Arabidopsis thaliana: one gene and its partners. The protein of the gene in region 4 interacts with the protein of the main gene of each other region in a pairwise test. Each region holds a gene or a part of one and is shown on either strand. Other genes may lie near its edges. The genes, in order: AT1G33110, GRF5, AT4G18205 and GCL1.

What was found.
Region 1: the proteins of GCL1 (region 4) and AT1G33110 interact in a protein complementation assay, tested with the Arabidopsis thaliana proteins (one large-scale study listed by BioGRID).
Region 2: the proteins of GCL1 (region 4) and GRF5 interact in a protein complementation assay, tested with the Arabidopsis thaliana proteins (one large-scale study listed by BioGRID).
Region 3: the proteins of GCL1 (region 4) and AT4G18205 interact in a protein complementation assay, tested with the Arabidopsis thaliana proteins (one large-scale study listed by BioGRID).

The regions. Positions count from the first base shown.
Region 1 is NC_003070.9:12,001,946-12,010,882, reverse strand, and holds AT1G33110 (MATE efflux family protein), read right to left. Parts: upstream 6,030-8,937; 5' UTR 5,800-6,029; coding exon 5,527-5,799; intron 4,311-5,526; coding exon 3,769-4,310; intron 3,436-3,768; coding exon 3,349-3,435; intron 3,242-3,348; coding exon 3,185-3,241; intron 3,099-3,184; coding exon 2,860-3,098; coding exon of another isoform or gene 2,843-2,859; exon of another isoform or gene 2,756-2,842; coding exon 2,637-2,755; intron 2,525-2,636; coding exon 2,438-2,524; intron 2,346-2,437; coding exon 2,265-2,345; 3' UTR 2,031-2,264; downstream 1-2,030. Other genes in the region: AT1G33102 (uncharacterized protein), read left to right, coding at 8,252-8,350.
Region 2 is NC_003076.8:5,241,928-5,249,311, reverse strand, and holds GRF5 (general regulatory factor 5), read left to right. Parts: upstream 1-3,473; 5' UTR 3,474-3,560; intron 3,561-3,569; exon of another isoform or gene 3,570-3,755; intron 3,756-3,886; 5' UTR 3,887-3,909; coding exon 3,910-4,392; intron 4,393-4,479; coding exon 4,480-4,602; intron 4,603-4,989; coding exon 4,990-5,106; intron 5,107-5,220; coding exon 5,221-5,304; 3' UTR 5,305-5,757; downstream 5,758-7,384. Other genes in the region: AT5G16070 (TCP-1/cpn60 chaperonin family protein), read left to right, coding at 1-96, 176-259, 547-751, 849-943, 1,110-1,178, 1,273-1,380, 1,476-1,594, 1,685-1,763; AT5G16060 (Cytochrome c oxidase biogenesis protein Cmc1-like protein), read right to left, coding at 2,103-2,184, 2,606-2,753, 3,094-3,151; AT5G16040 (Regulator of chromosome condensation (RCC1) family protein), read left to right, coding at 6,004-6,032, 6,123-6,267, 6,627-6,737, 6,833-6,893, 6,991-7,106, 7,209-7,294. UniProt on the Arabidopsis thaliana protein: Is associated with a DNA binding complex that binds to the G box, a well-characterized cis-acting DNA regulatory element found in plant genes.
Region 3 is NC_003075.7:10,070,284-10,077,099, reverse strand, and holds AT4G18205 (Nucleotide-sugar transporter family protein), read right to left. Parts: upstream 3,390-6,816; 5' UTR 3,251-3,389; coding exon 3,220-3,250; intron 3,138-3,219; coding exon 2,035-3,137; 3' UTR 1,730-2,034; downstream 1-1,729. Other genes in the region: PUP10 (purine permease 10), read right to left, coding at 1-746, 895-925; AT4G18203 (uncharacterized protein), read left to right, coding at 3,441-3,449, 3,601-3,648, 4,180-4,356; PUP7 (purine permease 7), read right to left, coding at 4,071-5,212, 5,295-5,325; PUP8 (purine permease 8), read right to left, coding at 6,126-6,816.
Region 4 is NC_003076.8:26,083,229-26,091,064, forward strand, and holds GCL1 (GCR2-like 1), read right to left. Parts: upstream 5,050-7,836; 5' UTR 4,842-5,049; coding exon 4,665-4,841; intron 4,571-4,664; coding exon 4,368-4,570; intron 4,297-4,367; exon of another isoform or gene 4,077-4,296; coding exon of another isoform or gene 4,063-4,076; coding exon 3,951-4,062; intron 3,793-3,950; coding exon 3,566-3,792; intron 3,484-3,565; coding exon 2,901-3,483; 3' UTR 2,733-2,900; coding exon of another isoform or gene 2,597-2,732; 3' UTR 2,512-2,596; coding exon of another isoform or gene 2,411-2,511; 3' UTR 2,365-2,410; downstream 1-2,364. Other genes in the region: RABA4a (RAB GTPase homolog A4A), read left to right, coding at 209-441, 875-1,322; AT5G65274 (ARP2/3 complex 16 kDa subunit (p16-Arc)), read left to right, coding at 2,072-2,169, 2,248-2,320, 2,411-2,511, 2,597-2,732; AT5G65290 (LMBR1-like membrane protein), read left to right, coding at 6,586-6,753, 7,272-7,360, 7,680-7,836. UniProt on the Arabidopsis thaliana protein: May play a role in signaling. May be not involved in abscisic acid (ABA) signaling.

The DNA of each region.
Region 1 (8,937 bases), on a different chromosome or scaffold from region 4:
AAACCCTAAATATCTTTCATATGTGGGCCTTTATCAAAATTCAGCCCACTAAAATCGTGCCCATAAAGAAAACCAAAAATGAGAAAAATACATTATTTACAATAAGCCCATGGCCCGTTAAAAATATTGGGCTGGAATGACGGAAGTGGTGCTCTCTCTCCTTCTCAAGAAAAATGACGGCGTCAGAAGTGGGTCAGAAGTGGGTTTAAAAGTGGGTTTTACTAAGAGACTAATCAGAAGTGGGTTTAAAAGTACACCCATTCCTAGCCCAATAAAACTGAAGCCCAGGAAACACCCAAAATATATTATTGGCAATAACAGGTCATATATATGCCAATTAATATAATCAAGTACCAATAGAATGCATGCTATTCGGCTTTTTCTGGATTCGGGTAATTCGAATTAGAGAGTTTAGTATCCTTTCAGATGGATAAGATTAGATATTTATGTATTCGGGTTGATCGGGTTCAGATCAAATAGAGGAGTTTAGGATTTAATTGAGTAAATATATATAAAAATTGGTTCAGTTTGGTTCGGTCTATCAAGTTTAGGTCGAAAGAAAACACCATTGTCGAAAGAAAGCCGTAGCAAACCACCACTGAATTAGCCACAGATCGAGTCACCGTACCAAACGCAAACAACATATTATTTTCTCTTTGCTCTCTCTTCGATTTGCTCTCTCTCTCACGACGGCTAAAGGCAGAAACCCTAGTTTATGAATCGTCGGAAGCAATTTAAAGGTAGAGACGCAGAAACCCTAAAGCAAATGTGGGCTTATTAAAACTCAAAAGTGAGAAAAGTTTATTATTGTCATTAAGCCCATGGCCCGTTAATAATATTGTGTCAGAATTAGGCCTTTTGAACTTTCTGTAATGATGTAAGTGGCGCCAATTCCATTATTTTTGTTTCTACTTTTCACGTTTATTTTCTCTATTTTTTAGCTTTCAAAACTCTTTGTAATCATTTTCTTTTGTTGAATAAATTTGACATTCCAACAAAAAATTATTTACAAAAAAATTATTTAACTTGTATTAAAAAAAAGGTTTTATGAAAAAAAACCTTAAAATCGTCTATTTTTATAATTTTATCCTATACGTCCTAAAAATACAAAATAATACGCAATATAGTCCATTTTTTAATTTTACATATATTAGAATGTTTTCACGATCTCATACATTAGTTTTTGAGAATTCTGAAGATAAAGTTGAACTCCTTATCTAGAGATCTTTGATTTGGTATATTATTTATCAAAAAATTTAAATTTGACAATAGTGAAAAAAAGATTATATTGCGTATTATTTTGGACTTCATAAGATTATTTTGTATTTTTTGGACTTGAAGGATAAAGTTGTGAATATGAACCACTATGGAGTTTTTCTGTACAAAACTCTCTATCTCTCTCTCTAACTGATCTCATTGATTAAAGCATAAACCTTAGAAAATTATTCACTGGCCGCGTTTTAAAAAGTATAAAGAAGAAAAACAGAAACCCTAAAACAATGTCATGTGGGCTTATCAAAATCAGCCCAACTCGTGCCGAGAAACAAAATTCCTAAAATGAAAAATAAATAGATTATTTGCAACAAGCACATGGCCCGTTAATTGTTTTTTCTATATATTTTCAAACAAAGCCGACGGAGAAATAATTCAAGTTTAGTATCCAAACATTTATATCATTAAATAGTTTTCATAAATCATCAAAAAAAGTTTGTTAATTTATTTCTATTAAAAATATATATATGTTACAATTGCAGTTGTTAAATGAGACAAAAAAAAATTCAGTTCTATTAGTCAACAAATTTGTTTTAAATGTTTTAAAACCAAACTGTCACTATTTAGACTTTAGAGCATCGCTCTATGGTTTCTTACCATGAATATCTCAAATAGTACAAAATAAAATTGGTGTGATTTTCTATACTATTTGAGAAGGTCACCCAAATATTTTAATTTTTGTTATTCTTTTCACATAAATAGTAAATTTTTTATTTTTATTTTTATTTTTTTGGTTATAAACCCCAAAATAATTTTGTGTTTGATGAATCATAGCTAAATGTAACACTATCTAGTGTTAATCCAAAAATTAGGATCTCGTTTTCGTTTTTTGGTTAAACATTAGAATCTTATTACAAGTTAGTTGCGAGGACATCAAATCGACCCAAATTTGTCATATTCTTGTCTTCACAATCTTGGAACATAGCCTAAAAGTTACATTTTAGCTTTTAAGAATAAAATGTGACGGTGCTAAAGACAATCTAGAATCCAATTTATTCCTCTGATGATACTTGGTTTACGTCTCTAGATTCTGGTACAACCCACCGATTTAAACGTCTCAACGACGTTGACACCTAATATATTTGGCAACAAACGGTATAAGAATAAGCACCAAAAACATAGCTTGCTAGGAACAAATTAGAAAACATAGTAATCGATTTATAACCTGTTGATCCCAATCTGTTCTCAGAGTCATGACGGTAAGCACACAAGTCTGAACGAATATTCCAAAGAGCATTCCGATCCATACGCCCTAAGAAAATTTAGAGAATAACTTTTTTTATGTTAATTTTTTTACTTTCACACATTTTTGTTTTCAAGACCGTTATAAAGAAGGAGAAAATTATAAAGAAAATAAAACTTACTTTCACTTGCAAACCAACGACATAACCAAGGATAATACCAATAGGAATTCCGACAAGGTAATAGCAAGCAAGGTTAACGTAAGTAACATATCCTTGCCATCCAGCTCCGACGGCAACTCCTGTTAAGGTTAAAACCGATCCAAGACACATAATATTTCAAATATCGGTTTATATTCGATACTGTAATAATAACCATCTCGCGCCAACTAGCTAATATACATACCAGAGAGAACGGGTTGAACACTATTCATGAGGATGGAAAAGGCTAAAAGCGGAGAAAGATCGGCAACTTCGGCTGCGACAGCTTCACTTGTAGTGAAAATGTAGGAAACTCTTCCTCTCAGAAACAAGAAGACGAAGAATAGAACTATTCCTAAAGAGAGTGATGTGAAAACCGCGGTTAGTGTTGCAAACTTGGCTCCTTTGGGGTTTCCACTACCGAGCTCGTTGGACACTCTTACGCTAGAGAAAAGACAAGGAAGAAGACCGATACATAAATAGAATTAATAAAGTGAAGTGTATATGTATGAATTAATATATGTATGTACCTTGCAGCTGCCAAAAACCCAAGTGCTATCATCATCTCCAGTCCATTTATGTTGAGGCTATATAAAATAAATGGTTAAGAATAGTTTATTTACGCATACTACATTTTAAATAAAATGAATAGATGTTTGAATTAATCGGTATTGGTCATGTCGTGTTAGTTTACCAGATTGCTAGTGCATCAAGAGCCACTTCTGCGTTTTTCAAATTTCCAGTGAGCAGTACCAAGATTGAGTTGTACCATAGTTCCAAGCTGCCCAAAATAACGGCCATAAAGTGATAATTATTATTGTATAATCATAAACTTCTCAATATGCGTACATGTAAATATAGTTTAGTAAGGTAGTCTACTTATACGACATTGATTATTTCAAACTGTCAGTCTTTGAAAGTCATTCCTAGTAAGTAAAAAACTTAAGAGCATGTGGTTTTGACTTGACTCTTACTAGTTTAATTAGAAACTTCATATCACCTACATGTAAAGCTATTCATATGAATTTCTATTGTAACCAAAACTTTAGGATCAAATCCTAGACTAATTGATAATTATATGGTTTGCTGCTTAAAAAAATAGAGGAAACCTTACCAAAGCATTCCACCGGAAGACATAGAAAGTTTGAAGACGGGCCATAAATCTTTGAAGGCCATCATAGAGAATCCTCTCCATGTGTCCTTACACCCACCGCACGTGACGAACAAGAGTTGGGCAATATTAGGCAACCAGAACGCAACTAGCGTAGAGGTCATAGCACCAGTGATCCCAAAATTGAAATGAACCATAAGTAGCCACGACAAGAAGACATGGACCCCTAAGGAGACAGCAGCCACGTAGGCAATGATCTTGTTCTTGCTCTGAGCTTGGAGGAACATTTGGCAAGTGAAGGAAGGCACAAAAGAGAAGTTGATGCCTATGACCCATAGGGCTATGATCCGAGCCACACGGACAATGCGTTCCTCTTGACCTAAGGCTAAGAGGATAGGGCCAGAGAAGATATAGACGGGCGTGAGGCAAATGGTACAACCTGTAAGGACGATCCATGACCTTTGGAGGTAGATCCCGAGCATATGATTTTGTTTAGCTCCGTAGGCTTGACCACATAGTGTTTCCAATGCACTGGCCATACCTAACTGCATTACGGTTCGTTATTACACGATAGTTATAATAACCAAAGTTGAGACATCTACATAGCTTCATAATAAATGTTAGCCAAAATAACATTCCATACAAAATCATTCAAGACCATATAAACTGAACCAAATTTTGATGAGTATGTAAAATTATCAGGATCTAGCTCAAACGTTGTTACAGTGTAGTGACTTGACTTTGATTAGAAGGTATATAAAAAGAGTTCAAAACTTTCTTTTTGTCTGATAGTTCAATAATTAGATCCTATTTGTCTCTCTTTTGGCTCTTTATGGCGTCTAGTGTATGGCTTAAAAGCTTCGACAAAATTTTGATATGATGGTACTTTTGGAGTTGTATACTGAAAACATGTAAAATATGAAACAACTTTTGATTTTCAGGGTGGAGAGTGGTTACGCCTCCTAAGTGGACTGCCATTGAAAAATCTTGTCAAACTTGTCTTCCCAAAAATAATTTATCAACTGCAATACTTTTCCTACACCTTTTCTTTTAAGGTTATAGTATAATAAACCCTTCTCTTTTTCTTTTTCTTTTTGTATAATAAACCCTTTAACTTTTTAAAAACTGGTATAGAATTATTTCTCTACTGCATTATTCTACAAAATTGTGGAAAATACGAGAAGAGACTACAAATTTGATATGTGGTTCGCAAGAAACCACCGCATGTTACGTCAAGCAGTGTCAACTGTCAGGACTCACATGATTTATGTTATTTCAATTATCCGTCAAAAGGAACCATTTATAAATTACAATCAGTAGTTCTGTTTTTTCTTTTTCTTCTTAATTCTGACCAATCAAAAACATGCTGTGCTTTATTATTGAGTTTTGGAAGAATTAATTATATTTCTGATTTTTCATTTGTTAGTCAATAATATTTAATGTGCAACAAAAGGAATTGTTGAACAGAAAAAAAAGAGAAATTATTCTTTCCCGAAAAAAGACTTGTCATAATCATTTTTCAATGTTTTCTTTTCTATTTTCAGTAAGGTACCACAATTTAATTTATTGCATAGTTATGCATTCTAAGGCAATCACCGGTAAATAGATTAATGAAAAGTTATTTCTAAGGGTTATGACAAACAAAAAACGCGTTTAATTTATGAATGGTCAGTAATAGTATCACGAAGATTTCAATGTTTGAAGAAATGATTTAACTTGTTGGTAAAAAAATTGAGAGTAATAATTGAAGAAAGTACTCACCAAGATACCATTACTAAACCGGAGGAGAACGGTGAAGGTGATAGAGTAAGCAGCCAACTCTATAGGACCAAGATGGCCGATGAAAGATTGACTTATTATTGAAACTCCGAACGTTGAGAATCTCGTGAAGATCGCTGGCGCCGCCACAATCCATAGCTTCTTTGATTCAATCCAAACCTTTTGCTTCAACCCTAACTCATCCTTCTCTTCTCCGCCGTTCTCCGCCGTCTTTTTCAACAAAGCCGCCGTGAGCTCTCCTCCTCCTCCGGCCATCTTGGAGTCTCTGTTGTTGTATCTGATGGAGGACCAGAGGGAAGGAGGGAATAAATAAAAGAGAGAAGGCAGAGAAAAAGAGAGGAGACTAGAGTGTTTGTGTATGAATTGGTTTATGAGAACAACTCTGTTTTTTTTGTTGTCTTTATAGATTAATGTTTTTTTGTTTGCTTAAAAATCGTCATTTTTATTGGGAAACGAAAAGCCGTCTACGCCAAGCAGCAAGTAGCAGTGAGTGGTTTATAGACACCTAGCTAAGATATCTTGCATTTTATAGACCATTTATTTTGACTAACAAACCTACCTATGTTTCATAATATAGAAAATATATAATAATGTTTTAGTAAACAAATTTATTATTTGATATTTGATTCAACCAATTATAAAATACAAATAGTCATGTATTGAAAGTTGAAACTTATAAAACATTCTAAGAAATAAAATAATTAAATCATTCTATATTGTTTTATATAATAAAATAGAAAAACTAACAATTATTTAATTTTGCTACACCATAAACCATAAAAAGACAAGAATCAAGTCACGAGCGTATCGAACTACTACTATTGTCACATTTTTCTGCTAACAAGATTGGTAGAAAGACTTATTTCAGTTAAAAAAACTCTTTTTTTTTTGGGGAGCAGGCGATTTCCGTTAAACCGAAAATAAAATCTTGCAAAATACAAGAGAGTTTCTTTTCTTTTATCTCTTCTAATTTTTCAGAGAGAAGAGGCTCTATATCGTCTGGGTTTATTTTCGGATTTATTCGGACTTATAAATATTACTAGTATGAAGCCTGGACTACGTTCGGGACAAAAATAATTTGATAAAAAATAAATTCTTTTGTTTGAAAGCGTTATCTTTAGTGTGTCCTGTGTAAGATAACTTTTTTTTAGAAAAACAGGTAAAAGCATATTCTTTTTTGCCCAAAAAATAAAAAATAAAATATATATTCTCTATATAGTCTATTCGTCGTACAATTTCAATAATGCCTAACTTCTAAACCTCATAACTCGAAATTTCCAAAGTTCTAAAGATTCTAGCATAACAAAAATCCAATGGTCCATAAATTTGTAATCAATCCAATTCTATTGAAGATTCAATTGCATGAGAAAACATGTTTTACAACCTTATGGATATCTTTTTCTTCTGTTTCTGTTTTCCTTTGTCGTATAGTCTCAGCTTTTCAGATATATGACTCTTGTGTTCATCTATATCACCATTTTAAAACTGAAAAAATTTTGGTTTTCTCTAGTGTATATCAGTACATCTTGTGCTTGTATGGCTTCGTTTTTTGTTTTACTGTGATTTCACAAAATCAAAAAGTCAATTTGTCTAGCACTATATTTGAGTTTAAAAATATAAGATCAACTATTTTTTTAAATAAAAAATAAAGGAAGAACTAATTGAGAATTGATAACCTTAGCATGTCATTGGGTTAGTCATGACTCATGATCGTGTAAGAGTTTTATTTTTCTGAAAATGTTTCACACGGGATCCTGAAAACGAAACCCATGTCGTCTTAAAGTCAGATTCTCAAACACTTTCTCTTGACAACATTAATAGCCAACAATGAGATGTGATTAGATGAAAATTGTAATAATTCACAAAGTATAAAGAAAATGATGTTAAAACTGAAAGCCAAAACAATATATGGAAAACTGAAAATTATAATAATTCAGAAATTTTACAAATTTGATACCTTAATTGAATATACAGTCGTTGTGGTTGACCTCTTCTTCAGCCATAACTGACCTCGAATGAGAAGGGAGAGTGAGATGAATTTTGGTTTGAGAATGGCAAGCAGCAAAAAAAATGTAAGGATTGTTAATCTGCCATGGCGTCATGGTGTAAAGCAGGCGGAAAAGAAAATAACTGATCCGAATGTGAAAAATTTGAGATTCGTAATTAGAAAATTGCATAGAAGATGAAACAACATAAATTAGCAATAACTGTTGCAAGATATGGGGAATGGGGAAGATAGTGATGAAGATGGCGAGAAAGAAAGAAATAAATTATGGATTAAATCTCTTTAATAATTTATGTTAATGAGAAAAGAATTATTGTTTTACGCTTCAGAAAAATCAAAACTCAATAAATTAAGACTTTGCTTACGTGTAAACAGGAGAATGTTGCAGTTTGTGATAAAGTGACTGTTGATTTAGTAGATATAGATTTATATTAGATTTAAATAAGTTTTCGACTTCTAGTCGGATGTCAGTCTACTAGAGTAGTCCGGTTTTTGTTTTCTCGCGACGGCGAGACTAATCTCTTGTCCAACTGCCCCTCGAGGTTCATCCGATCCTCCCAATCATCTCGAGGAGTAATATCTTCATTATCTTTCTTTGTTCGTGAATTTGGAGCAATGTTTCGACTGCATCAGTAAAGGTGTTGTCTGTGATGGAACTTCCCAGGAGTTGGATTTGCTCGGAGAACTCTTGAAGCATACCATATGATAGATCTGGAGGTTCTCGGCGTTTACGGCTTGGGTTCGAGATCGTCAGACAGGAGGCAACCACCCATCGCTCCACGACGGATCGACGGTGGCTGATCTAAGGCGGTGATGTTTGGCGAGAAAAACACGGCAGCGCTCGATCAACTGATGCGTGGCTTGATGAAGCAGAAGACTTCAACACGTGTCAGCATCTAGGTTTTCTTAAAACTTAGGTTGTATTTTCATTGTAGTAATTGGGCTTCCCTCTGTAGTAGTCCTTTGAACTTTCTTAATGAAATATGGTTGTAAAAAAAAAAATTGGTAGAAAGACTTAAGAAATTAAATTATTTAAGATATTGTTATATAGATTAGAGAATTCTCCCGAACAAATATTATTTGTTCTGTTTGTGAAGTCTCGTTTAATCTTTACATTCTGGTTCAATCCAACGGTTCAATACCACAACTATTCTTCTGATCCAACAAAGATATGTATTTGTTTTTAAACCCAAATTAGTGGTTGATACCAATTTGGCATTTAAATTTTAATAAATAATTGTAGAAAAAAATAGATATAAATCTGCAAATGACATTTAAAGATAAAAAAGAAATGTATGCATATTTCTATTTTATATGATCATATGAACAACAAAGGGGTTTGTGGTTGTGAATAAGGATTTGTTAAAGGAAAAAAACAAAACAAAGCT
Region 2 (7,384 bases), about 21 Mb from region 4:
TTCTACTCTAATGCGGAGCAGAGGGAAGCCATGGTTACCGCAGAGAGGCGATCTGTTGATGAAAGAGTTAAGAAAATAATTGAGCTGAAGAAGAAGGTGGGACTGCGACCATTTCTCCAAGTTTTATTTTAAAACCCTGTAAAAAATACTAATACATGTTTTATTTCTTGTGCAGGTGTGTGGTGATAATGACAACTTTGTTGTCATAAATCAGAAGGGTATTGACCCACCATCATTGGATCTTCTTGCTAGAGAAGGGGTAAGCTACTTCTGTGTTTTCTTGCATTTAAACTTATGTTACAAATCGCTGAAATTGTGATATTTAGGAACAAGAAGAAAGATACTAGGGAAGAATGTGTTATTAAGTGAATTGAAATTGCCAGTAATATTAAAAGAGTAGTTCCTTCGATATACAATAATCCATGGAGACGATTGGCAGCATTAGTTTTTAGTTCTGGGACACTGACTGAGCTTGTCTATTCTTTTGTACCTAATTTCTCTTGTTTAGAAGCTGTTGAATCTAATTACCTTTCCTCATGTGTCCAGATTATTGGTCTTAGAAGAGCAAAGAGGAGGAACATGGAACGTTTAGTTTTGGCCTGTGGTGGAGAAGCTGTGAATTCTGTTGACGACTTGACCCCTGAGTCTCTTGGATGGGCTGGACTTGTCTATGAGCACGTTCTTGGGGAGGAAAAGTACACCTTTGTGGAGCAAGTGAAGAATCCTAATTCATGTACCATCCTCATAAAAGGTATTAGGACGACTTTTATGTCTTCATTAAGTTTTGATGGTTCATTTGTTCTTTTAGTAGTTTTAGTGTTCATTCATGAATTTCTTGGGTTTTGTAGGGCCTAATGATCACACTATTGCCCAAATTAAGGACGCTGTTCGTGATGGTCTGAGATCGGTCAAGAACACCATAGAAGACGAGTGTGTTGTGTTAGTAAGTACCTTATATATCTTGAAGTTTTTTTGTTAACATTGCTTTATGTTTCTCCGCAATATCAAAGAAATTGTTAATTCGTGATCAAAACCCTGGGTAAGGTTAGCATATAGACCTATTGTATATGTTTTGCGTTATGTTAATGTGTGGTTGCATGTTTCTGTAGGGAGCAGGAGCTTTTGAAGTTGCAGCAAGGCAACACTTACTCAATGAAGTCAAGAAAACCGTTCAAGGGGTAAGTTGATTTCTTCACTCGTACTCTAATTCTCGCAACATTACTTAATGCATCCCAATATTCTAAATTGCTAATACTATCATGAACATTGCAGCGTGCCCAACTTGGCGTTGAAGCTTTTGCTAATGCCCTTCTCGTGGTGCCTAAGACACTTGCAGAAAATGCAGGTCTTGATACCCAAGATGTGATCATTTCTCTTACGGTATGCATTCATCTCTCTTATCATCTTCTGCAAACTGAAATCAATTGTTGAAGGAACAAAGAATTAGAATTGCTCATTGTGATGCGCTTATGCAGAGCGAGCATGACAAAGGGAACGTTGTGGGACTGAACCTTCAGGACGGTGAACCTATTGACCCGCAGCTTGCTGGTATTTTTGATAATTACTCAGTGAAACGCCAACTTATCAATTCAGGGTAATGTTCGACCCAACTAGTCAATTCTAATAAAAGCTTTGGGTTTCGGTTGAAACCATTTCAATAACCGGCTATTTGTTTGTGTTGCAGGCCAGTGATTGCGTCGCAATTACTTTTGGTGGACGAAGTGATTCGTGCAGGCAGAAATATGAGGAAGCCTACTGCTTGAAGTCCTTTGCTTTTAACTTGGTTTCTAATTTGTAAGCACCTCAAATTTTGTTTCTTGGTGTAAATCCTGAATATTGTGAAACATATGTTTTTTTTTTCTTTTTGGCAATGAAAAACATATTTGAATCTGATCTTTAGATGTAGTGGATCTTTTGCAAAATGATAAAAAATAGTAATACAAAATCTATTTGAATCTGATCTCTAGATTTAGTGAATACACCCATATTTAAGAAAGGCCACAGTTTATTTATAAAAAAGGATATATTTTGGTTCGCAATGAACAAGAAACAAAGCGAGGACATTATATTGGTCGTACTCAAATCTTTTGTTCAACAAACATCTATATGGCCGAGGCTGAGACTTTACCCTCTTCTTGAACCATATACGCTCTCTTCATTTCCTCCAAGACATTGTCATTGGTGCTGCAGAATCAACAAAATAGTTTCATGGTTAGACAACATTTAAGCATCGGCCCAACAAGGGAGACGTTCATTAGGGAGTCACATAAAAAGAACTTGTGCACCAAGAACAAGACTGTGCTACACCGATATAGAAGATAGTTATTACTTCTCTTTTATCGCAGTATCAAAGAATCATCAATCATCCCCTTCTATAAGCTTATATTTGGTTACATATATATACTAGCACTGGTACGTCATGATAACGTTATGCATCTCCTAACCACAAGTTGTCTCATTTCATCATATCAGACTTACCAGTGAAGGGTATTAAGAAAGAATAATCAAAATCAGATGCCCCCATACACAACAAATCTTTATACGTAACAGTGAAAAAAAGATGACACCTCTAATGGAAGGAGCACTAAAAACTCGAAAAACTTACAATTGATGGAGGCAAGTGTTGAGCTCCCTAGCTTGCTTACGACATGTCCATACCACAGAAAAAGTTCTTCCTGTTGCGCATTGAGCATACTTGGAGACGTACTGATCACATTCCATTAATGCCTTTGCCTTCATCTTGCTACGCAGCGCTAATAACAAAGTATATACATAATCAATCAAACAACCATTTAACAAAAAAAAACCATCACCATTTCAACTTCAACACAATCTATAAGCTCAATTCATAGAAGCAATTTGACACACTCAATGAGAGCTTGCTAGATCAGATGCAAAATATGGAGTTACTACCAAGGGTTTATGAGAACCCTAATCCTCAATCTAGCAAAAGAATCTGCGTCTATGATAAGAAACCAGGCTTAAATAGTATCGATATGGTTGATCTCATTTTCGAGGCAATAAAAAAACCATTTGGGGGTTTAGGGTTTTAAAACATAGCGAGATGAAGAAGTCACGACATTGTCAAATTACCTTCTTCGACCTTCTTCTTCACGTGATTTTCACGAGCTTGCTCCACATAGCTACCCATTGACGACGGACCTTCGAGCTTTTCCGGCCTTCTCCGATCAATTCGATCAAAAGGGCAAAGGGGACTAGAAATGGGTTCAGGGCAAAGGGTAAATCCGTCATTTACCCCAAGGAAACTTAACTTATATTGCCATTTTGCCCCCTTAATATTTTTGTATTATATGAATGACCTTATTAACTTATGATTCGTCACATTTCACCCACTTCAATTTAAAATTATGGACGAGAATTAAGTCCTTTGACGGTCAACAGATTAGCACGTGTCGTATTTTAATTGGGTCGTTGCCCCTCTCTCTCTCTTTACTCTTTTCCCATTTAATGGTCACGAGACCGTCTCCCCCAAATTTCTCACTTCCCCTAATTTCGCTTCGAATTCAAAAGCCCTAATTCGAAAATTCCCATTTCTCAAGGTACGGTTCCGATCTTCCTTGCTCATACTTCGACAATGTTTTTTCTGCTTCTCGTTTTCTGCGTTTATTGTTGATATGTTGTTGATCTTCGCGTTTTGGTCATCACTTCAAGATCTGTAGGATTCAAAGTTCGTTCTATCGATTTTGGATAGATCTAGCAGTGTAAATCGTTTGTCAAAGTTTTTTATTCTTTGGGTGCGTGGATTAATTTTGTTAGAGATGATTGTTATCGTTGCTCTTGAATGCAAGATTGTTGCAGCATTACTGAGTTCTATTTCGTGCTCTTTGTTTATTGCTGCTGCTTGATATTTTCTTGTTGAAAACAGGTTTTTAAAAGAGTATTGCAAAGATGTCTTCTGATTCGTCCCGGGAAGAGAATGTGTACTTGGCCAAGTTAGCCGAGCAAGCTGAGCGTTACGAGGAAATGGTTGAGTTCATGGAGAAAGTTGCAAAGACCGTGGAGACCGAGGAACTTACTGTTGAAGAGAGGAATCTCTTGTCTGTTGCTTACAAGAACGTGATTGGTGCTAGGAGAGCTTCTTGGAGGATTATCTCTTCCATTGAGCAGAAGGAAGATAGCAGGGGCAACAGTGATCATGTTTCGATTATCAAGGATTACAGAGGCAAGATTGAAACTGAGCTCAGCAAGATTTGTGATGGCATTTTGAACCTTCTTGAGGCTCATCTCATTCCTGCTGCTTCTTTGGCTGAGTCCAAAGTTTTTTACCTGAAGATGAAGGGAGATTATCATCGGTACCTTGCTGAATTCAAGACTGGTGCTGAGAGGAAAGAAGCTGCTGAGAGCACTCTTGTTGCCTACAAGTCTGCTCAGGTTATCATCTTGTTTCTTCTTCTTAACCATATAGAGTGCTAAGATAACATGTTGTCTCATGCTATTGGTGTTTGTGTTTTTATGTAGGATATTGCTCTTGCTGATCTGGCTCCCACTCACCCAATCAGACTGGGGCTTGCTCTTAACTTCTCTGTTTTCTACTATGAGATTCTCAACTCATCTGATCGTGCGTGTAGTCTCGCAAAGCAGGTCTGTGTTACTTTTTCATTTATGCTATGCTTTCTGTCATTAACTAACAAACCTATATTCCAACTGTTTTGCTTGATTAAACTTAGCACATAAGAGGTTCTTTTTTTCTATCTATCGTTCATAATGTGGCAAAAACGTGTTACGTAGTTAACTTGTTACACTTCCATGTGGGTAGACTTTCCATATGTTCTAGTAATGGTTTGTAGATTGCTTACCATAGCCTGACCGATAGGGTTGTAGTTAATTTTGATGATGGGCAGAATTGGGAAACTAGATCCTGTGAATGGTTCCATACACTAGTGAAATTTGGACAACCTTCACATTCGGATTCTAGTTTGATTCAAGTACCTTTTGTTTAGTTACTAATATGATTTTTCATGGTGGTAGGCTTTTGATGAGGCAATCTCGGAGCTAGACACATTGGGAGAGGAATCATACAAGGACAGTACATTGATCATGCAGCTTCTCCGTGACAATCTCACCCTCTGGACTTCTGACCTCAATGTACTTGTCTCTCTTTACACTCATCATTGTTAGCAATATCTTAGTGATTGCATCATGCAGTTAAGATTCTTGTTGGTTTTCGCATAACATTTGTGTCTAATATCTAATCTCCAGGACGAAGCTGGTGATGATATCAAGGAAGCCCCGAAAGAGGTGCAGAAAGTTGATGAACAAGCCCAACCACCACCTTCGCAGTGATAAAATCAGATCCATGGAATGATTTGCAGACAAAAAAATATATGGCTTGGTTCTGTGTTTTTAAACAGAAAAAAACCTTGTAGTTTCCTTAAACATGGGCTGTAGTTTCCTTAAACATGGATTTGTAGTAGTAATTGTAGCTGCATGATTTGGTTATCGATGGTTAAAACTCTTTGTGTGCTTCTCACATGTTTTGGTTGTTGTCGTTGTTGCCGGTTTCACTATTAGACTGCATTGCATTACATGGTCCGGTCTAAAAGTTGAAAACTTGCTTCCTTCTCTGATTGGGGTTTAGTTGTCTTTTAGATTATGCTTCTCTAGGTGGAATGTTCCCCAAATGGAATTGGTTAAGACTCAAGAGAGTTGTTCAATGAAACGAAATAGAAATGGAATTTCACAACTTTAAACGAAAGATAAAGCCTCTTTCGGTTTGGAACAACTGTTAGGTAACACATATAATGGAATTACAAATCATAAATCCTCCATGACCATAAGCTAAAAAGTTGGATTAATTAATAAATGACATGGGAATGGGAGGTAACATTAACTGGTCCAAAATAAATAATTAATGTAATGACACATTCACATAATAATATCTCGAATTGAAATCCCACCGAGAGTGCCCTGCTTTTCCACTGAGTTTCTTCATATATATCTCTTTCTCTCTCATTTGTAATTGTATCTCTCACTTTTGTTTCAATGGCTTCAGCTACTTCCGTCATAGCCTGGTCATTTCTCTTTCTATTCTACCTCTTTGTTTTTCTCCATTACTGTTTCTGACTTGTGCTATTGCTCCTTCGTTTGATTTTTTGGCACAGGGGTTCTGGAGAAGATGGGCAACTAGGACTTGGAACCGATGAAGAAAAGGAATTGGCTTCCGTCGTCGACGCTCTTGAGCCTTTCAACGTTCGCTCCGTCGTCGGTGGTAGCCGCAATTCCCTCGCCATTTGCGATGATGGCAAGGTTACTTATCCAATTTCCTTTATGTGTCCTTGTTGTGTCTTCTTTGGTTGGTTTCGCTTAGAACTAACTAAAGTACAATGCTTTGCTTTGATTTTGCGATTTGATTCTAAGCCATGTCTTTAAGATTTTCTTAGTTCGCTTTACATAGGGTTTTTGAGATCTGTAGGACCAATTAAAAAGGGTTTAAAGCTCGTATTTTTTTTCTTGTCCTGAAGTCCAACTAAAATGCAACCAATATGTTTGTCTGAGGTTACTCTCGAATAGATCATCAGACTCTGGTTCTTGTCTCCATGGTGTAGTTTATGATTGATGTGTCACCAACATATAGAAATAATATGGTCTCTTAAATGGTTTCTCAGCTGTTTACATGGGGTTGGAATCAAAGGGGTACATTAGGACACCCACCTGAGACAAAAACAGAAAGCACCCCAAGTCTAGTTAAGTCTCTTGCCAACGTCAAGATTGTTCAGGTAAAACTTCTTACAATTATTTAAGTATTTTTGGCTCTAATGCTGTTTCCTCGTTGTGATTTACTCTGAATTGCCGTTTCTGTAATTGATCATAGGCAGCTATTGGTGGCTGGCATTGTTTAGCTGTCGATGATCAAGGCCGAGCATATGCTTGGGGTATGCATTTTCTCTCTCAGCTTCTTTCTAATGATTGTGACCTCAATGATCTTAATGATCTTAAGTTGTTCACCTTTTTGTTATATAATCTACTTAGGTGGAAATGAATATGGACAGTGTGGTGAAGAGCCTTCCAAGGATGAGACAGGTAGGCCTGTGCGGAGGGATATTGTAATACCTAAGCGTTGTGCCCAGCAACTTACAGTCCGACAGGTTACTTATGCTGCTAACCTCTCTTCATTTACCTCAATTTTTAGTTCTCTTTTTTTCCTGTCTAAACCATCTGTTCTCGGGTTTGTATGATTAAAATAACAGGTAGCTGCAGGGGGTACTCACTCTGTGGTTCTAACCCGTGAAGGTTATGTATGGACTTGGGGTCAACCGTGGCCTCCCGGTGACATGTATTATCCAAATTTCCTTTCGTTTATGGATACGACATTTGCATTTTCTTGTCTTCTGTTGGTTTATATGGTGTTTCCTGTGTATCGCAG
Region 3 (6,816 bases), on a different chromosome or scaffold from region 4:
CCCCACCACGCTAACACAACTGGCCACTAGACTCACGTAGATTATCATATCCATAACTTCTGAGAAATTTTGCTTCTTTAGGACTTTTAGAAAGGCTAGCTGTTGTAGGGATAAGACTAGACCATAACCAGCAGACGCAGCAACGGTGCATATGAAACCTTTGACATACTCTCCTTTTGTAACTTTTGTGGAGTCTGTCTCCTCATTATTGAATGCAAGTAGGGTGGAAGATATAGTTAGGAGGAAAAGAGAATTTAAAATGATAGGGGTAAGTTTTTGTGAGTTAAGAAAATAAGAGAAGAAAGCATTGAAGGCTAACTGAGATGCACAGATCAGGGAATAGGTAGAAACGGGTAAGTAAAGAAGTCCAATGGAGTACAGATAGCAATCTGCTCCTACAAGAAGTCCAAGCACTACGTAAACCAATACACGGTTCCTAGGTGAGGTTCTTTTTCCATCTCTATCAGTTGTTGCATGTGTTTTAAATGACAAGATATAATATGGAAGTAGCACAGGAAAGCCAACAAGTTGAACTACCGTTGCTAGCCATTTACTGTTTCCTCCGTTGTCATAGTATACTCTGCCCAAAATTGTAGCAACTGTTTGGCCTGAAATGACAAAGAATGTATATAAAGTCACCCTGAGCCACCGTTTGTATGTGTTAGAGTGAGATACTTCTGCTTGGCTGCTACTGACTGAATTTCTTTCATCTTGAACTGTTGGATTTGGTTCTTTTCCCTGCCGAACTGGTAAGTGAGTGAAAATAACGCAAAAATTAGTTTATTTGTTGTCGATCGTTTCATATATTGAATTATAAAATATCATAACCATCTTTTTTTTTTTTGAAGATGAAAGAATAGGACGTTCACCACAAACTGGTTTATGCTTACTCACCAATGATTTGTAGTTCTTGATCCGCCGTCATGGTGGATGTGGAATCACCACCTTGGAGATGGACAAGGAGGAACTAACGTATCTTATTATCAATTCTCTTGGTTGATAATGCTACCAAGTGATTGCTCCTTTGATATGGGTGAGATATGCTAAGTTATATATTCTGGGATTAGGAATCGGTCACCGTCTAAGTTTTCTTTGTTCTTGGCCCCACATTCAGTAAATGCCAACCATATCTCTTCTCTTTCCATGAATTTAGTATCTGTAGTCTTTCTACATGCAAAGATGCCTCTATTGTTGACCAAGAGATGAGTTAAGTCTAGGAGGAAATTATGTGTAGGCAATATTCATTCAGACTTTCTTCTGCAACTATGTGGAGGACATGAACCCCATACGCATAGACAAATAGAAACTTAACACGCATACGCATATGTATGAACGTGTACACAAGTTGTAGTATTCTGTGATCTTGATGAGGACGACATTTCTAAAAGTTATTTGTCTTTTTAAATTTATTTGGATTGGGTACACACTTCGGTTTCCATGGCTAGTCATGAAGTTTTTGCCATCAAGATGATGCTGACGTTAGCTAAAGATTATGTCTCGCCTATCTTTTCAAGAGAAGACATTCGCAACAACTTAATACTGGACGGCAGAGGAAGTCGCTATATAAAATGGTATTATTTCTGGTCATTTACTTTTTGTTCAAAGCTCTGTTTCCCCAAGGATGTTGGACCAATCTGACAAATTATCTTCTATCTCTCATTATACATGATTTGCTGTTTGTTCTTGTTTCCCAAGATTTAGGTGCATTTCAAAACTAGAAAGGAGAATATTGCATTGACATATCTGTAAGTTATGCTAACTGGTCAATTTTTATCGGGTTTCACACTCACACAATGAAAGTATCACAAAATTGACATGGTTTTTCTGTTAAATAAATGACTGCTTTTATCACTCTGCTCGTATTACACAATACTCTTTTGAATAAAAGTTCTAAATACCTGAAATATGAGCGACATACATATCCCATTTGCATGGACCATTACGGATATTACACATACAAGCTTTATATAGGTTATTTACATGACTGTGTACAACTATGTATGTTTGTTTCTGAGACCTTCGATACAACTTGTTTCATAAAGTTTGTGTTTCTTCCTCAACAGGTTTTGTCTGGCAAGTCTTCAACTTCTTTTCGTCGAGGTAGTGCTGATAGACAAATGAAAGGAAGCCCCAGATAGCTAAAATGATGGAGAAAATCTTTGATGCATCCATCTTATCATGGAAAACTATCACTGCTACAACTGGAACTATAGGCAGTCCCACAGCAGTTATGGAATTGGAGAACACAGAAGAAGACTCGAAGATTAATCCCACACAACCAACAGTGTATACTTGCCAGAAAATAGCTGCTGAGGCCAAAGTCAAGATATATGACACTTTCCCCAGTTTGTAGTTTCTCATCTCACTTGGCAGAGTTCTCCACTCTCCACTTGCAAACAGTCCTATGAGTACCACACAAGTTGCAACTAGAGACTGGTAATTGGCCAAGTCCAGGACTGCTGAGGATGTATGCTTCGTGAAAACTTTCCTGAAGAGCAGTTGTATCAGAGATAGTACCAATCCAATCCCAGCGGAAGCACCAATGGTACAGATGAACCCAATCACATATTGTACTCTAGATACATTTGTTGTGTTTTCTGAATCAGTGTTGACCACGAGGAGGGCAGAGGAAACCGTAAGGAGAAACAAAGAATTGACTATCAAAGGAGTGAACTTTTGCGAGTTAAGGAAATATGAGAAAAAGGCAGTGAAGGCCAACTGTGAGGCCAAGATGAGGGAGAAAGTAGAGACTGGTAAGTAAAGCAACCCAACTGCAGACAAATAAGCATAAGCAGACACTAGCAGTCCAGTGCACAAGTAAACCGATGCAAGGGTGGTGAAGGAAGGGGACTGACTGAAATTTGTATCTGTTGATTTGGGTTGCCTGATTCGAGAAAAGAAGCGGAAGAGAATCAGTACAGGGAAGCCAATGAGTTGAAGAAGTGTTACCACATATGTGCTTTTCCCTCCATTTTCATAGTACAGTCTACCCAGAACTGTAGCAAGTGGTTGGCAGAAGATGACAAAGATTGCGTATATGGAGACACGGAGCCACCTCTTACAGTTCTTCGTTTGAGGTACTGAAAATGATTCAGTTTCCTCATGATCTAGAAGGTTTGCTTCTAAGTTCTGGTCACCTGAAAAATTAACACTCGTGGTTATTATATTTCATCGAAAGAGGATCAAATGATCTAACGTCATCAGGTACCTTTTGCTTACCATTGCAATAGTGTACTTGAGATATGCCCATGAGAAATGAGAAAATTTGGAAGAAAGAATATTGTGTTTATTGATTTCTTTCGTTTGATATGTCTTTTAGATACAGAAGAGACCTTTCTTTATACACAAAATGATATTTATTATAGTAACTAAATACCCCAGATACAAGTTGCACTAATCAAACTTGGCAGACTTTTACTAATTTGTGTATAATAATAAAGATGGGTCAGGTGATAGATGACAGCAGTATCATAATTTAGTAGTCTCATGCTGACCATTGACCTTTCTTATTTGCTTACACTTGACTTAAAATTCTTAAAACTTTTGAATGGCGGCTCTAAGAGAACTCTTTTTCCTCAGTGTCTATTGACGTTAAATCAGAAGTCAACAAAGATACAAGAAGCCAAGCTCCTAGAGTATACGTTTTTGGTATTTTAAGGAGTTTTGTTGCAAGTCACTACATTGTTTATCTGTTATGTCAGTGGCTTCCAAGTAAGTGGGTATTATATCTGTTCACTTGTTTTTTTTTTTTGCTCAAAGCTCTGTTTTAGCCTATTTGTCTCTCTGACTTCGTTGTTTGCTCTTGATTCGGTGTTTCAAATGCATTGCAAAATTACAAAGCAGAGTATTGCATTTGCATCTTTAAGAAAACTTATTGGTATATATAGAAGAAAAATATTCTGAAATTATTGGTATCATATGTACAAAACTTATTAGCTATTATGACTGACTAGTTTGCAAAGTAGCGTTACACGTTTTTTATGCTCAAACTGTACAAAGATACATTGGCTTTGGCCTTTGAGGGGAAAAAAAGAAAGATACATTGGCTTTATACTGGAAATATGCTTTGATCACACACTTTGTATGTTTGTGTGACCTTCCTCAACAGGTAGATGAAGATCTCCTACAGCACTTGTGTGGCTAGTATTCAACTTCTTTTCGTCGAGGTAGTGCTGATAGACGAATGAAAGGAAGCCGCAGATAGCTAAAATAATGGAGAAGATTTTTGATGCGTCCATTCTATCATGGAAAACTATCACTGCCGCAACTGGAACTATAGGCAATCCCACAGCTGTTATGGAATTGGAGAACACAGAGGATGACTCGAAGATCAATCCCACAAGACCAAGAGTGTAGACTTGCCAGGAAATAGCTGCCGAGGCTAAAGTCAAAACATATGACACTTTCCCGAGTTTGTAGTTTCTCATCTCACTTGGCAAAGTTTCCCACTCTCCACTTGCAAAAAGTCCTATGAGAACTACACAACTCGCAACTAGAGACTGGTAAATGGCCAAGTCCGTGACTGCTGAGGATGTATGCTTCGTGAAAACTTTCCTGAAGAGCATTTGTATCAGAGATAGTAACAGTCCAATCCCAGCGGAAGCACCGATGGTACATATGAACCCGATCACATACTGTACTCTAGATACATTAGTTGAGTTTTCTGAATCAGTGTTGACCACAAGAAGAGCAGAGGATACAGTGAGGAGAAGCAAAGAACTGACTATCAAAGGAGTGAACTTTTGCGAGTTAAGGAAATATGAGAAAAAGGCAGTGAAGGCCAACTGTGAGGCCAAGATGAGGGAGAAAGTAGAGACTGGTAAGTAGAGCAACCCTACTGCAGACAAATAAGCATAAGCGGACACTAGCAGTCCAGTGCACAAGTAAACCGATGCAAGGGTGGTGAAGGAAGGGGACTGACTGAAATTTGTATCTGTTGATTTGGGTTGCCTGATTCGAGAAAAGAAGCGGAACAGAACCAGTACAGGGAAGCCAATGAGTTGAAGAAGTGTTACCACATATGTGCTATTTCCTCCATTTTCATAGTACAATCTACCCAGAATTGTAGCTAGTGGCTGGCAAAAGAGGACAAAGATTACGTATATGGAGACACGAAGCCACCTTTTATAGTTCTCGGTTTGAGGCACAGCTGATGATGATGATTCAGTTACCACCTCATGATCTATAAGGTTTGCTTCTAAGTTCTGGTCACCTGAAAAATTAACACTCATGTTTATTATATCTCATGAAAAAATGAATTCAAGGATCTAACTTTATCAGGTGCTTCTTCTTACCATTGGCATAGTGTTCTTGAGATCTGTCCATGAGAAAGAAGATTGTTTCTTGTTTTTATTGATTGGTTTTGTTTGAGATGTCGTGCAGATACACAAGAGGCCTTTCTTTAAACACACATTGATGGTATTACAAAAAAACATCTAAATACCCTACACAAGTTGCATTATCAAACATGGCAGGCTTTTAGTAAATCGTATTATATGGATGGGGCAGGCGATAGATGACAGTAGCAGTATCATTATTTAGTAGTCTCATGTTGACCGGTGACTTTTCTTATTTGCTTACACTTGACTTGTGGAATTCTTGAAACTTTTGAATGGCGGCTCTACGAGAATTTTTTTTATTTTCTCAGTGTCTACTGACGTTTAATCAGAAGTCAACAAAGATACAAGAATCCAAGCTCCTGGAGTATACGTTTTTGGTATTTTAAGGAGTCTTTTTACAAGGCACTGTTCAAGTCACTACATTGGTTATTTGTTATGTCAGTGGCTTCCAGGTAAGTGGGTATTATTTTTGTTCACTTGTTTCTTTTTTTTTGTTCAAAGCTCTGGTTTTCCAAGGATGCTTTAGCCTATTTGCCTCTCTGCTATCGATGTTTGCTCTTGTTTTTTGGTGATTCAAATGCATTGCAAAATGACAAAGCAGAGTATTGCATTTGCATCTTTAAGTTATGGGTATCTCCGGTATATAGAAGTAAAAAAGATCCGAACTATTGGTATCTTATGTACAAAACTTATCAGTTACTTATGATTGACTAGAGATACACGTTTTTATATCTATGCTCAAACTGTACAAAGATACATTGGCTTTACACTGGAAATATGTTTTGATCATACACTATGTATGTTTGTGTGACCTTCCTCAGCAGGTAGTAGATGAGGATCTCCTACAGGACTTGTGTGGCTAGTCTTCAACTTCTTTTCGTCGAGGTAGTGCTGATAGACAAATGAAATGAATCCCCAGATAGCTAAAATGATGGAGAAGATCTTTGACGCGTTCATTTTATCATGGAAAACAATCACTGCTACAACTGGAACTATAGGCAATCCCACAGCAGTTATGGAATTGGAGAACACAGAAGATGACTCAAAGATCAGTCCCACGACGCCAATGGTGTAGACTTGCCAGGAAATAGCTATCGAGGCCAAAGTCATAACGTATGGCACTTTCCCCAGTTTGTAGTTTTCCATCTCACTTGTTAAAGTTTTCCACTCCCCGCTTGCGAAAAGTCCTATGAGAACCACACAGCTTGCAACTAGAGATTGGTAAGCGACCAAGTCAGTGACCGTTGAGAATGTTTGCTTCTTTAAAACCTTCCTGAGGATCAGTTGTACCAGGGATAGCAGCAATCCAATCCCAGCAGAAGCACCAATGGTACATATTATCCCTATCACATATTTTACTCTAGACACTTTTGCTGTGTTTTCCGAATCAGTGTTGACCACGAGGAGGGCAGAGGAAATAGTAAGGAGAAACAGAGAATTCACAATGAAAGGTGTGAACTTCTGCGAGTTTAGAAAA
Region 4 (7,836 bases):
TCTCACCGAGCCGGCAGAATCCAACGGTTAATATTTAGACACGTCATCATTAATTAAAAATATTGACTAATAGTTGACAACGACGACAATACGACCGTATCAGATCTCTCTCTGCGTTTAAAACTTCAAAAAAGCTCACTTTTCGGTAAAAGCTTAAAACAGAGGATTTAGCAAGAGAGGATTTAGCGAGAGAGAGACGTTGAAGAAGATGACTAGTGGAGGAGGATACGGAGATCCGTCGCAGAAGATTGATTATGTGTTCAAAGTGGTGTTGATCGGCGATTCCGCGGTTGGGAAATCACAGATACTGGCTCGTTATGCTAGAGACGAATTCAGTTTGGATTCTAAGGCCACCATCGGCGTTGAGTTTCAGACTCGGACGCTTGTTATCGATCACAAGAGTGTTAAGGCTCAGATCTGGGATACCGCCGGCCAAGAACGGTAATCTCCGACCTCTCCCGGAACTTTTAGCTACTTCAATTGCTTGAACTTAGATCTCGTAAGATTTTACTGTTTCTCTAGATCTGGAAGATGATAGGTCTGCTTAGGATTTCGAATTCTAGTAAAGCTTACTGATCTGTATACGAAATTGGGAGGATCTGAAGTAAAATGGTAGAATCATTGAGAATTTGGGATTGGGATTTCAAAATTATGTATAGACTAGAATTATGTATATTACTATTCCAATGTTATTAAGCTTCTATAATTTTATGATTGGTACAAATTTGGACACTTTTGTTATACATTTCCCAGTGATGCTTCATCAACTTTATACATTCACTGATCTTTAATGAGTAAGCTAACCACCACATTTCATGCTTATCATATGCTTACATTGTATATCTTTCTATATGTGTGGTATTGGTTGAAACAGATACAGAGCAGTAACAAGTGCATATTACCGAGGAGCGGTTGGGGCGATGTTGGTGTATGACATAACCAGACGCCAAACCTTTGACCATATCCCAAGATGGTTAGAAGAACTACGTGCTCATGCAGATAAGAACATTGTGATAATCCTTATTGGGAACAAGTCAGATCTTGTGGATCAACGAGCTATACCGACAGAAGATGCGAAAGAATTTGCGGAGAAAGAAGGTTTGTTCTTCTTGGAGACATCTGCATTTAACGCAACCAATGTTGAGAGCGCTTTCTCCACGGTTTTGACTGAGATCTTCAACATTGTGAACAAGAAAAGTCTGGCTGCGAGTGAAGATCAAGAGAATGGTAATCCCGGGTCGCTTGCTGGTAAGAAGATTGATATTGTTCCAGGTCCTGGTCAAGTGATACCAAACAAGAGTAACATGTGTTGTAACTCTTAGATAAACCAATTCAATTCTTGAATGTTACTTGATAACAACAATATATAGATGTTTTAAAGACTCTGATTGGGATATTTCTCCTATCTAGAGCTGTGTGATTCATTTGTTGCTTAATGAGCAGTTTTTGTGGGGTTTTGGGGTGTTGAATCCAAGTATAACAAACCGATCTTAATTTGATCTTAAAAATTGGATATTAATTTGATCAACATGTTTTTATTCTCTCTACATTTGTAAGATTATTGTTACATTTTTGTTAATTACAAATATATACCAGCAATAACAACTTTTCTATTTCTCTTGTTACGTCAATGTGAAAAAGTAAAAATTAAAAACTGAAGCATCCGATTTTAATAATTGGTATCACAGTTCTGATAAATTCTCACTCGGCCGTTTTACCACTCGATTGCTTTATTCTCTCTAATTTCAGGTAATCTTCGAATCCTGCTTGATTCTTCAATCTTGTATGATTTGATCAGAAAGTTCAGGATTACTGATCTGATATGATGTGAGAAATCTGCGTACCATCGGCAATGGATTGTTTTACGTGATTAGAATTGATTTTGTCGTGATTGTTACTTCTCTTTTTAGCTTTTTATGGGGATGACAAGTTTTGCATTGCCTCCTTTGGTTAGTAAACTCAAATCATATGTTTCTTATGCAGCAAGTTGTCGATTTGAATGAAGAAATGAAATTAATTGATTAGGTTTTAGATAATTTTGCTGGAGAGTGTAGAGAAAGAGAGAGATCCAATGGCTGGTGCAGCAGCATTTGTTGAAGCTGATAATGCAGAGGAAATAATGGCAAGGATCGAAACCAAATCGCAGAAGATTGAAAGCTTACTCAAACAGTAATAACCCTAAAGTTCCTTTTTTCTTCCAACTTTCTCAGATGACCTAGGCTATAATTGTTACTTCGTTTTATTCAGCTACAAACATGTCGAAGCTCTTAAAACGGCTCTTGATGGTTCGCCACCTAAAACTCTCGACGAACGTTGCAAGGTCCTACTGTTTCCTCTACCATGCACATAAGTAGTTTGTTCATGATCAAAAAGATTGTGTAATTTATGATAAATATCTGTGAAATTGCAGTCAGCTAATTGGATAGTTGTGCACAGAGCTATCATGGCGATAAAGGATATCGAAGGAATGTTAAATTCTCTTACTGCCGAGTATTACGACATTCTCATGAAGTAAGTCTCTTGCCTTTTGCTCTGCTAGCTTTTAATTAGCGTGATGTGGAAGCAGTGTTTTGTTTGCTTAAATGGTGTGGATCAGGTACTTGTACAGAGGTCTTTCGACTGGTGACGAACCCACATGCGAACAGTGTTTGATGATTCACGAGAAACTAACAGAGAGAGCTGGTCTCGGTTGCATTCTCCGTTGTCTGAGTGATACTACCAATACCGTTTAAACCATTAAGCTGATCTTTTCATGTTACTTTTATTCTTGTTTTCTATGAATGTTTCTCCCAAATCTCAAGTTACTTCAATAGATTATAGAAAGTGGAATAAACCGGAGAACCTAAGATCCTTTCACAAAGAGATAGTCATAAAAGAACCTACGGTTACCTGGTTTTAAATTATATCTCATAACCAGGAAACTTAGAATCTACCGGCGACACAAGATCGAACCAGAGGCATACTGGTCCAGCTAGTCCCCGGAATAGCGAATAATCATGTTCTGTTTCTTGGCTTGTCATATTCACGAGCTCTATCGCATCACGGCACAAGTAACTCGCAAACGCTTTTGCTCTCTCTTCATATACAACATCTCCGGTTAAGCGATAAAGGGATAAGAAAGCGTAGGCATTACCAGCAACTCCATCAGCTAAACCTACCTTCTTCACCAAGCCACTCTTCCACACTACTTCTCCTGCTTCAATGGCTGCTTCGCGGAAATCCCTTTCCTTGGGAAACACCTGAGATGCTTTAGCCAAAGTAATGGCCATGCCGGTTGCTCCATGAGCCCATTGGACTAGCTTATCCCTCGGATTCCCTTCGCTGCACGGGTAGTTTCCGCTGTTCGGAAACCTATTACTCATCATATACCTCAATGTCCCTTGAACATCTTTAACATCCTCTTCCGATAGTGGAAAATGCAGCAATACATACAAGATTCCAGCTAATCCATTCGCAGCACCCCAAAATCGCGTTCCGTGAAACCTAAAAGCCACAAAAGTAAGATCAATTCCTACTAAAGATAAACAGGATTCTCTTTTAACAAACTATAGCTATTTTGTGAAACCTGTATAACAGAGGACAAGCTTCATGATCTGCAGCTCCAACTCGCCCACCGGCTAAGATGGCTGCAACAATGGGTGATAAGAGATGGTCAGGAACAGTTCCTTGGCCGAGATATCGGTTTAGGAACAGAGCAGCCCAAAGGAAACCCGCTCTTCCATAGAGAAGGTCATATGACATCCCAAATCCTCCTTCCTCTGGTCCTGCTGGTAACTCTCTCTCTTCTGCAAGCTGCTTGTAAGAATAACAAATCTTAAAGGCTCGTCACTTCACTAATCTTGCTTAAGGGTTAATATATGACACGTTGGATCAAAATACTGAATCTATAGCTTTTATCTGAAAGTGTTGTAAGCAAAAGAAATGGTGTATGAAGTCAAAAAGATTGGAACCTCAAGAAAAAGACCGAGGAAGAAGTCACGCTTTGATTGGTCCCCTCTGTAATTGGCTACAATTGCACCAAGCGTACAAACTCCTCCTCTTCCACATAAAAATGTCACGTGCCTATTCATGAGCATAACAAGTCCAATAATTTGTTAGAAAATGACAAGTCCATTCTAATGGGTGTGTAGATATTGTTATTATTCCAGAACCTGAAAATTCGTTCATACATACATAATTTTCTATAAACTATAATTGGTTAAACAGTGACATCTTTGTAATGACTCAATCTCACACATGTGTTTTCTATCAGACAGATTTTAATTAAGAATATTCTTTAAAATGGTTAGATTCCATTTTTTTTTTTTATGGAAGATGATATTTGATGTTTACTTGGCTAAGCAACTTAGTGACGAAGATATTTTCACCTGGTTGTGGCACGCGCAACGTTGGCACACGTGTCGATTATCTCTGCGCAAGTTAGCAGATCTTGATGGTTCCGCGTTACCTCGTACGACTTCAAGCAGGTGAACGCTGTGCCGAGTAGTCCTGTGTACACAGTCGGATCCAGCACTGGACCCGAACCAGAGGCAAGAGCTTCGACACCACCTTTCCACGTGGCCTCCACAACCTATACATACATCGACCAAAAAACATATATGAGCGAACGTACGGACTAGGCTTACATTAGCCGTCTGGGGCGTCGCATAGTTATCGTAACGCACCTGGTTCTTGAGTAACGTCGCTGCTCTGAGGAAAGATTCCGTAGGGAGAGAAATAGTCGGAGCCGACGGTTCGGAAAGCAAATGATCAATTTCGCCATTCTTTACTGTCTCTCCGGCGCCGTTACCATCGTCGCCGCATCTCCCCTGTTCCGTCACGAAATCCACCGACGACGACATAGCTCTCGCCTTTGTGTCTCTGTCTTACTCTTGATCTTGATTGATATCTTGAAGAAAGAATCAAATACGGGAGTTATATTTATTTGTAGTTTTTATAACAGCCGCTATTTATATAGTTTCTGTTTTTTTATTTATCTTTATTTATTTTAGTTCTATTAGACCAAATAAAATTACTGTAATGGATTTTTCTTCTTTTAAAAGAAATTTGTGAATCACCTTTTAGTTTAGTTTTGGTATAAAATATTTTAGTAATTTATTTGGATTAATTCAGTAGTTAATAAATATGTTAGGTACTTGAGTATGATTTTTAGCAGTTCCACACGTGTTTTCGTAATTTTGTGCATTTGGGTATAGGACCTACCAGTCTTTAAAATAATGACTTAAGCATCTTGGAAAATAAATGTGATGCTTCTATTAAAGTATCAAGAAACAAAGGAAAAGCTGAAAGTGGGGTTTAGGGTATTGGATTCTGGTTGCAGGACATGACCGTAATACACGTGAACCGGTAGACAGAGCCTAAACGTGTCAGCATCTTGTCGGCTCTATCATTTTTACGAATCGATTTGCCGTTAGATCTGGCTTAGGGGATATGGCATGGACTACGAACGCTCGATGTTATATACCTTTATAAATAAGGAATAAAAAAGTGCAGAGATTTGAGAATCTCATACTATATCAGACGATTAAAAAACTAATCGAATATGTAATGTTTTAGTTGATAAACGGATCAATTAGTTATATTTTTAAAATAGGTGAGTGTGAACGCGTCGAAATGTGTTTCTTGTCAATTTACGAATTATACATTTGGTTAGATAGTCACTTATTGAACATGAATCAGTGTATTAGCTGCTGACCTGTAAACACGTTTGGAAAACGTGAATCATGTGATATTCTTTCACGCGTGTTAATTAAACACCTAAACCCCGTATGTTGTAAAACGCATGTAGTCTCTATAGATCGGACGGCCCATATTTAATTCATCAAATTATATTTGTAGGTGTAACCAGGCCCAGTTACTGACCATCAATATCAGGCTTTGTAAAGTGCAGCCCAGTTCCTAGAGGCCTAACTTTGTTGAAATTCATTTTATTCAATTAAAAATAGTGGAGTTTTTTTTTTAAGACAACTAATTAATAATTAATTATGAAAACCCAAAAAAAACAAACAGAAAATTCAAAATTTCATGCGAAAATGCGCAGCATGATATCAAAAACTTCGTGCTTGCGCAAGAATTAAGCATTTTCATTAAACAAAAATTAAAAAAAAATGTGTTCCTTGACTTTCTGAAACAACCAATTACCTTACAACTTAAAATCATATTTATCAGAGTACTAATGGATTAAATTTGACGCAAACAAATATTAATTTTAGATTTGATGGTTGAAATTATTTAATATTAATCAGACTAATTCTTCTCAAAGTCTCTCAATTCTCAACTCTCACCAAATAACGAAGATAAATATTTACGTTTTCTTTTTAAAAAAGCATTAGAGCGTGGAAAAAGCTGCTTCTTCTTCTTCGTCAATGAACCGAACCGAGATCGAACCAAGGAAACGAAACTGAAGAACGAAAAAAAGGAACAACAAACTAGAGAGCGACCTTCCTCTTACCGGCGCGTTACTCTCACGCGCTAACGTACATATAGACGAGTCGAGCGATCTCGCAGCGGCGTTTATCGATACCCTAAGCTCGTGGTTGTTTCAGATTTTTGTTAATTGAATTCTCTGCATCGAGATAGAGGGAGATGTGGGTTTTCTATCTGATCTCGTTGCCTCTAACCCTAGGATTAGTTGTTTTCACGCTCCGATACTTCGCCGGACCGGAGATTCCTCGGTACGTTCTTATCACCGTTGGATACACCTGGTTCTGCTCTGTCTCCGTTATCATCCTCGCTCCTGCCGACATTTGGACGGTAAGTTTTACTTTCCATGTTTTCAGCCAATACGGACTTGTGCGATTCTGATCGAATTGGCCTTTACGAGCTTACGATTTTGAATTTAGGAGTCGTCTTACTTGATTTGGAATTGAATCGTCGGTTATAATTAAAGGGTTCTTTCTGATGCCTGGAAGTTTCATAGGATCATACGTTGAATTGAGATTTAGCTGAAGAATGTGGTGTTTGAATACGGCTTATACGCATTTGTTAGACCTATATTGAAATTAGTATTTAGTGGTGAAAGAGTTTGAAATACTCACTGAAGGTTTTTAAGCATGAAGCTTAGTTGATTTGGTAGTCAAACAAATTGTGTTTATGGATAGATAGCTTTGGTCTCTCATGGTTGTGAGCTGTTGAGGAATGTTTTTGGGAAAGTTTCAATGGTAGCTAGATTTTGGTTGCCATGTATGATTTGGATGTAAACCAAACTAGAATAACTAGGAGATGTCTCATATGAAATTGTTTTGCTTCATTTGTCTTCTTATGTTCTGCAGACACTATCTCTGCAACCTGATCATCCTGAGAATGGCGCCATTTCCTTCTTATGGAGTTGGTCATACTGGAGTACGTTTCTACTCACCTGGTATGAACTGGTCAAGCTTTTCAGTGCTTTTTACCTGACACGTCTTCCCCCATATTTTCAGAATATTGTGTCTGTCTTTTGATCAAATCCAATATTAGGTGGTGAAACCAGATTACTTTTGAAAATATTACCTAGTTAACATGACAGGACGTGTCCAGTGTAGGTCAAATAAGTTCATCTACATGGTTGTTATCTTTAAGGCGTAAATTTTGTTTTGTTTGGCAGTATTTAAAATGCACTCACACAATCCATCTACATTGTTTTTGTAGCTTATAGATGTACATTACCTCATATATTAAACTATGTTACCTCTAAACAGGGCTGTGGTGCCCCTTATTCAGGGTTTCGAAGATGCTGGAGACTTTACCGTGTCTGAGCGATTGAAGACTAGCGTGCATGTCAACTTAGTTTTCTATCTAGTACTGGGATTCATTGGTCTTCTCGGTCTTATCCTTCTCATCATGATGCACAGAAAC